2 linked regions of the Sus scrofa genome follow. The protein of the gene in region 2 interacts with the protein of the main gene of each other region in a pairwise test. Links are inferred from orthologs where the notes say so. Each region holds a gene or a part of one and is shown on either strand. Other genes may lie near its edges.

Region 1 (3,516 bases), on a different chromosome or scaffold from region 2:
TGAAAAATAAGAAGGTCTAGCAACATTGTGGCTCCATTCCCACAAGGCAACAGTCAGCTGGAGGAGAGTTGGGGCAGCCTCCCTTAGATGAGGTGTTCTTTCCTGACCCCCCACCCCCCTGTACTGTTCATCGATATTATACTTCCCATGTCAGGTTTATACTGTCCCCTGGTCACTGTAAGTATTCAGTCTGGGGCATCTGGATAGATCATGGACCTTCATCACGTCCTCCTTTCTTCACCTTCCCAGGAATCCCCCATCCCGGAAGACAAGGGCCGCCGGTTTGTCTTATCTTATTTTCTAGCCACTGACATGATCAGTATCTTTGAGCCTCCTGTTCGAAATTCGGGGATCATTGGGGGCAAGTACCTCGGCAGAACTAAAGTTGTCAAGCCCGACTCCTCCATGGAAAACCCCATCTACTATGGCCCCAGTGACTTCTTCATTGGTGCCGTGATTGAAGGTAGGTCTCAGCACAGTTTAAGCTTTAAGCCAAATGAATGGGTTCTTATTTGGGATTTAACTCAGTTAACCCTTGTAGGAGGTAGTTAGTCTGCAGTCTAGTTGAGATAAAGCTAATATTCTCGTACATGTGGCACAGTGTCTTAATCTCCTCCTTCATCAGTTAAACTGTAAGTGGGGGTCTTCTGTTGGCTGTAAGTGAGCTTCCTAAACACTGAGCAAACTACTGTGTATTAGCTTAGAGAGCTATTGAAAGTTCACCAGTCTGGGAGTTCCCGTGGCACAGCAGAAAACGAATCCGACTAGGACCCATGAGGTTGCAGGTTCCATCCCTGGCCTCGCTCAATGGGTTGAGGATCCGGCGTTGCGGTGAGCTGTGGTGTAGGTCGAAGACTTGGCTCGGATCCCTTGTTGCTGTGGCTGTGGCGCAGGCTGGCGGCTACAGCTCCGATTGGACCCTTGGCCTGGGGACCTCCATGTGCTGTGGGTGTGGCCCTAAAAAAACATAAAAACAAACAAAAAAACATAACCAAGTGAAGCGTTTTTCTCCTCTCCCCAGTGTTTGGCCACCGGTTTGTCATCCTCGATTCCGATGACTATGTTTTGAAATACATGGAGAGCAACCCTGCCCAGTTTTCCCCAGAAGCTCTCCTGTCAATTCAGAACCACATTCGAAGGCGAGACACTCCTGCACTGGAACTGGACAGGTATGTTTGACCATCTGAGGTCTGCTTTGGCTGTGGTACAGTGACATACTCAGGGAATAGACGTCTGGGTCATCACATTCTAGATTCTCAGATTTCCTTCTCCAAATGGGAGTCCCTAGACATACACAGGTTACCTGGGTCCAGTGTGATAACTAGTAACTTAGGACCTTTTCAACTTCAGTTATTCAGCAAATACTTATCAGATGCCTAGTATGTGTCAGACACTATCATGAGGCCCCTGGGCTTTTATTAGTAAACAAAGAAGTTGTTGCCCTCATGGAGCTGACCTTCTAAGCAGCGAGTATCGCTAATAAGCAGCACAATGAGGCAGTTACACGGTGTGTTAGGTGATGAGTGCCATCGGAAAGTGCAGCAAAACAAGGGAGGGATGGGTTACAATTGATTGGGGAAGGTGGTCACACCTTCCACAGGTGACCCGGAGCAAACACTTGAAGGTGAAGGAGTTCCCTGTGTGGCTGTCTGGAGGAAGAGGGATTGGTGAGCCTTTAGACCCTAAGTATTAGCCTGCCCGGAGAACTCAAGTAACCCTGGTAAGAGGTAGGCTGTGATCGTGGCTGCCATGGATTGGGTGAGAGGAGAAGGAGCCAGAGCTGGAGTTACAGCATTAGCCAGGGGCCAGAGGGTGTACGACCTGCCAGGTCTTTGGGAATAAGTTGGCTTTTCTCTGAGTGAAAGGGACAACCATCGTGTGCTCCTGAGAACAGTGAGGGGCAAGATTTGACATCATTTGAAAATAACTGGCCGTTTTTTTGTTTTTTGTTTTTTTGTCTTTTTGCCATTTCTTGGGCCACTCCTGCGGCATATGGAGGTTCCCAGGCTAGGGGTCGAATCAGAGCCATAGCCACTGGCCTACGCCAGAGCCACAGCAACGCAGGATCTGAGCCGAGTCTGCAACCTACACCACAGCTTATGGCAACACTGGATCCTTAACCCACTGAGCAAGGCCAGGGATCAAACCCGCAACCTCATGGTTCCTAGTCGGATTTGTTAACTACTGCGCCACGATGGGAACTCCATGGCTGTTGTTTTAAGGACAGATTTGGAGGGAAATTAGTTTGGAGAATATGGCTGTAATCTAGGCACAGGATGGTGGTGTGTGGACCCGGGAAGCACCAGTGAAGATGGGGACAAGTGGTCTGATTTTGGATCTCTCTTAAGATAGAGCTAATAAAGCTTCAGCAGTATGGTATAGGGAAAATAAGAGAGAGAATGATAAAGGATGACTAAGGTTTTTTGTCCTGAGCAGCTGGGAAGAAGGGGATGGCCATGAACTGAGATGGGGAGATGTACCTTGTGGGTGGAGGAGAGTTTTTGGTGGGGGGATTTCAGTTTAGATATAGTAGGTTGATACCTGTTAGGTGTCCAAGTAGAGATGTCAAACAGGCTGTTGTAGTTGTAAATCTGGAGTCAGGTGAGGGGTCTGGGCTGGAAGTACAAATGTGGGAGTTGGGGCATATGGATGATATTTTAAGCCAGGAGACTGGGTGAAGTCTCTAAAGTAGTCATTGTAGACAGAAGAGGGAACAGTGCCAAGAATTGCTCTCTGGGATCCTCCAACCATAAGAGCTGGGAAAGAGACTGGGCAGGACAACCAGTGAGGTAGGAAGAGAGCCACGTGGGTGTGGTGTCCTAGAATCCATCCAAAGAGATGCAAAGGCCACCTCCTTTGCGTGGTGATGCAGAACTATAAATGTGGCCATGCAGGCAATCTTGGTACCAATGGGAAACTTCACTATTATTCTGTAGCTGTTAAAACTTTGGTCAAGCCATGGAAAACTCTGATGGTTATAAAAGTGTAGGGAAATAAAAACTAGTGAAATTGATTTCTATTTAGTATACTACAATTTAAAACAGTTGGAAACCCTGGGAATTCACAGTGTTGTATTTCTTTGTGAAAAGAGTCGTCAGAGTAGTGCCTGCCTTCTTGTTGTCATGTAGCTTATGACACAGAGCGAACGTTCTTTCTATGCCTTAGCAAATTGTCATGTTCCTTTCTAAGTTTGGATCAACTTCCAACATTTAAAAATTTTTGCTTTCAACGTTGTGAAATACATCCTTGCGTTCTTTTAATGACAGTGAACTATCTCAGAGTTCTTTTAATGTGAAGCGTGTTGCTGGCATCTGGGATATCATCATTCTTTTCCTTAGATCTCTTCCTTCATTCATGTCAGTAAAGCCTGCCTTCCTAAGGTCCTCTGGCTGCCCATCGGGAGTCCCTGGGACAGCAGCACGGTCAGCCGTCCACAGTCAACTAGTTCTTCTTTAACTCCACCATGCTTGACTTGAAGTCAACTTCTAGCTCTATCACTTGTTGTTTCTTTGCCAC
Region 2 (4,000 bases):
GTCACGAGGGTGGGGTGGGCCCAAGGCAGGAGTTAGGGGGCTGGGTTGGGTTGATGTCAGGGTAGGGTCTCTGGCGCAGGGGTGGCCTGCAGTCCCGGTGGGGTCCCTGGACCAGGGGTCTGTAGTCCCAGGGTGGATCTGAGTGATGGTCCTGGGGTCTGTGCGGGGGCTCAAGGTGAGGGCGGGGCTTCCCTGGGTCTCCTGTCAGCACAGGGGCACATGATCTGGGTGGGGGGGGTCCATAGTTCTGTGTCCTGGGGTCCAGGAGGGGGAACCCTGGGGTCTGGGGTCAGGTGGGATCCCAGGATCCAGGCAGGAGTCATGGTCCGGGCTGGGTCCTTGGGTCTGGTGGGGCACTGACAGACAAGCAGGGGTCCCTGGGGTCTGCAGTTTAGGTGGGGGTCTGGGAAGGGGGTCTCTGGGGTCCATGGTCCTGGAGGGGGTCTGGGGTCCCGGGTCAGGCAGAGTTGGAGGGGGGTTCCCTGGCATCCACAGTTTGGGTGAGGGTCTGGGGGGATCCCTGGGGGTCTGTGGTCCTAGTGGGGGTCTGGGGTCCCGGGTCAGCCAGGGTTCAGGTTCAGAGCAGGACCCCCTGGGGTCCGCAGTTTGGATGGGGTTCCGGGGTCGGGAGTGGAGGTGGGGGATCCCTGGGGTCCGTGGTCCTGGAGGGGGCTCTGGGGGGGGTCTCTGGGGTCTGGGGTCCTGGTCAGCCGGGCTCCAGGGTCTGAGCGGGGGCTCCTGTGGTCCTCAGTTTGGGTGGGGGTCGGGGGTCTGGGGGGGGTCCCTGGGGTCCATGATCCTGGAGGGAGTCTGGGGGTCCCGGGTCAGGCGGGGTCAGGGGTCAGAGCGGGCGTCCCTGGGGTCCGCAGTTTGGGTGGGGGTCGGGAGGCTGGGGTCCCAGGGGTCTGTGGTCCTGGTGGGGGTCTGGGGTCCCGGTCAGGGAAGCTACGGGGTCCGAGCGGGGGCTCCTGGGGTCCTCGGTTTGGGTGGGGGTCTGGGGTCTGGGGGGGGTCCCTGGGGTCCATGATCCTGGAGGGAGTCTGGGGGTCCCGGGTCAGGCGGGGTCAGGGGTCAGAGCGGGCGTCCTTGGGGTCTGCAGTTTGGGTGGGGGGCCGGGGTCGCGGGTCAGGCGGGGGCGGGGGTCGGCGCGGGGCCGGCGGGCTGGCGGGCGGGCGCGCGGGCGCGGGGGGCGGGCCGCTGCGGGCGCGTTTCCGCCGTCCGGCCGGGCGAGCGCCGAGTCCCGCGGGCGGCGCGGAAGCGGCGGCCGGGCAGCCATGTCGCCTTTGTCTGCGGCGCGGGCGGCCCTGCGGGTCTACGCGGCGGGCGCGGCGGTGATCCTGGCGCAGCTGCTGCGCCGCTGCCGCGGGGGCTTCGCGGAGCCAGGTCAGCGGCCGGGGGCGGGCGGGCGGGGTCGGGGCGCGGGGCCGGCGGGTGGCTCGCGGCGGCGGCGGCGGCGGCGATGGCGGCGGCGGCTCCGGGCCCGGGCGGTGCGTCCCCCGCGGGGCGCAGCCCCCGAGGCGGGGGCAGAGCGGGGGAGGGGCGCGCCCGGGCCCCGCGTGCCCTTGACCGCGGCCTGGGCCCGTGCGCGGCGCCGGGCGCTCCCGGAAGCAGGGCCGGGCGGCCGCGGGGGTGGAGGGCGGGTCGCCCCGCCCGCCGCTCCTCCCCGCGCGCCCGAGGCCGGGGTCTCCCTGCGGTGTCGCGCGCCCCGACCCACCCAGCCGGGCCGGGCCAGGGTCCTCGGGGTCCCCAGGGTCCCGCGCGCCTGCCCCGCAGCTCCCCGCCCGGAGGGAGGAGGGCGCGCCGAGAGCCCGGCCTCCGCGCAGGGTCAGGTAGGACGGGCTCCGGGGGGCGTGCGGGGCCCGGGGGGGCCTCGGGGGCAGGGCCCTTCGCTTCAGGGGCACCTTGCTTCTGCGGCCTTAGCGACCTGCGCCCGCGGCGTCTGCGACCCCGAACTTTCCGGTGTCGGGACCGGTTCGCGCTCCGAGCGCTGCTGGGGGGCCCGCGAGGCGCTGTGTGGCCGGGGCCGCGTCGGCTCCCGTTGGCGCGCCTGGGACTTCAGCCGCAGACCCGGAGCGTTCCTGTCTGCCCTGATTTGCAAAGGAAGCAGGATAACGCCAGGCTCTGCGAGCATACGTGGCTTTTTATTTTTAGATGAACAGTAACTCCTTCCCAAACAGAGGGGTCGGTGGGGAGTGCGGTGCTGTGTTACTTTGTGGCCGCCTTTGGCGTGTGGCCTAAGGTGAGAAATCCTCGGAGGTCCGCTTCTGTTTCCACGCGGTTGGCACCGCCCGCCGCCTGTCTCTGGCACACACCCCTGGGCACCCCTGAGAGACTGGGGTGCAAACAGGCCAAGTGCATCTGACTGTGGCTGTGAAAAATACTTTAAATCCCTCCACCGCCCCACGCATGGGGGTGCCTGCGGCCCCACTTTGCAAACCTGCAGCTCTGCGCCCCACAGATAATTTTTTTTGGCGCCCCACCCTCCCCGTGGGGTGGAGACTTAGGGAACTCTTCCAGGTGTGCATGTGACAGAAGCGTTTCGTTTTACTGTCAACCTGATTTCTCATTCTTTCTTTCTTTTTTTTTAAACGCTTTGAGAGCGATTAGAATGGAATAGAGCGAGTCCCCGCTGTGGCGCATCGGGATTGTGGCGTCTCACGGGGAGGCAGGTTCGATCCCCAGCCTGGCACAGTGGGTTAAGGGGTCTGGCGCTGCTGCAGCTTTGGCCGTGGTCCCCGAGATCGGATCCCCGGCCTCCATATGCTGCCGGGTGGCCAAAAAAAAGAAAAAGGTATTTATTTTGGAGTTCCTGTTCTGGCTTAGCAGGTTCATTGCTGGAGGTTTCAGATATTTCTGTGAGAATCGGGTTCCATCTCTGGCACAGCTCAGTGGGTTAAGGATCCGACGTGGCCCTGAGCTGCAGCTGCAGCTCGGATCCGAGCCATAGCCTGGGAATGTCCATAGGCTGCCGGTGCAGTAGTAAAAAGAAAAACACACTTGAATTGAGAGTAAGGAGCCAGCCAGTACCTGGGGTTTGGGGCGGGGGCGGGGGGATGGGGGGTACAGGCAGAGGACACCTTTTAAATCAGGCCTGGCCTGTAAATAGTAAACAACGTTGGAAAGCTGTCCCAAGTGGCCCCCATTGACCCAAAGGGTGGCACCCCCCCGCCCCACGGGACAAGGTAGGCGGCTGGCTGTGCAGCTTTGCTCCCCCTGCGTGCCTCGCGCCCCTTCGGGGCAGGCTCTTCACCTGCTCAGGGACCTGGCAAGTGGAGGGTGGAATTGGAGCTTGCCACACCCCATTCCCCAGAAGGCCCGTCTCAAAAACGTGTTTGTGGTGCATCCAAACCAGGCCTTGCCTTGTTGTTTCCACCTGTTGATTTAGAAAAAGAGCAGAAAAGCCTGTAACCGGACCCACTGGGGACCAAGCGGTGTGTGGGCGGAGTGAAGCCTTCCTCCTGCTGGAGCAGAGGGTCAGCTCCGTTTAAGAGGAACTGGACGAGCTCTGCAAGCCACGTGGTCTGTTGGGTTAGAAATCCTTGCAGAGCTGGGGGGAGCCAGGCACGTGTGTCCTGAGTGTCTGGTGGTGGCCCTTGTCCCACATGTCACAGTCCTTCTGCTTTTTGACCTTTTTTTTTTTGCTAACTGGACGTAACTTTTGGCAAGGAGACATTGAACGTTGCCCCAGGTGGAGCTGAGCAGTAGCAGGCCCAGTCCACATGAAGCATAGCTGGGGGTTGTTTGGTTTTGTTTTAAACCTCAGAGGTTTTCTGGAGTTCCTCTTGTGGCTCGGTGGGTTAAGACTCCGACTAGGATCCATGAGGACGCGGGTTCTGTCCCTGGCCTCGATCTGTGGGTTAAGGATCCGGCGTTGCCACGAGCTGTGGGGTAGGTCACAGGTGCTGCTCGGATCTGGTGTGGCTGCGGCGAAGGGGCCGACAGCTGTAGCTCCCGTTCAACCCCTAGCCCTGGGACTTCCATATGCTGCAGGTGCGGCTCT

The links.
Region 1: the proteins of ZBED1 (region 2) and EFHC1 interact in binary tests that used the Homo sapiens proteins (3 or more experiments, as listed by UniProt). The two-hybrid records come from large-scale screens. The link is inferred for Sus scrofa from reciprocal best matches to the Homo sapiens genes ZBED1 and EFHC1.

Annotation. Positions count from the first base shown.
Region 1 is NC_010449.5:46,300,409-46,303,924, forward strand, and holds part of EFHC1 (EF-hand domain-containing protein 1), read left to right. Parts: intron 1-249; coding exon 250-463; intron 464-1,021; coding exon 1,022-1,169; intron 1,170-3,516. UniProt on the Homo sapiens protein: Microtubule inner protein (MIP) part of the dynein-decorated doublet microtubules (DMTs) in cilia axoneme, which is required for motile cilia beating.
Region 2 is NW_018085344.1:633,006-637,005, reverse strand, and holds the start of ZBED1 (zinc finger BED domain-containing protein 1), read left to right. Parts: upstream 1-1,200; 5' UTR 1,201-1,274; coding exon of another isoform or gene 1,275-1,383; intron 1,384-1,611; exon of another isoform or gene 1,612-1,829; intron 1,830-4,000. Other genes in the region: dehydrogenase/reductase SDR family member on chromosome X, read left to right, coding at 1,275-1,383.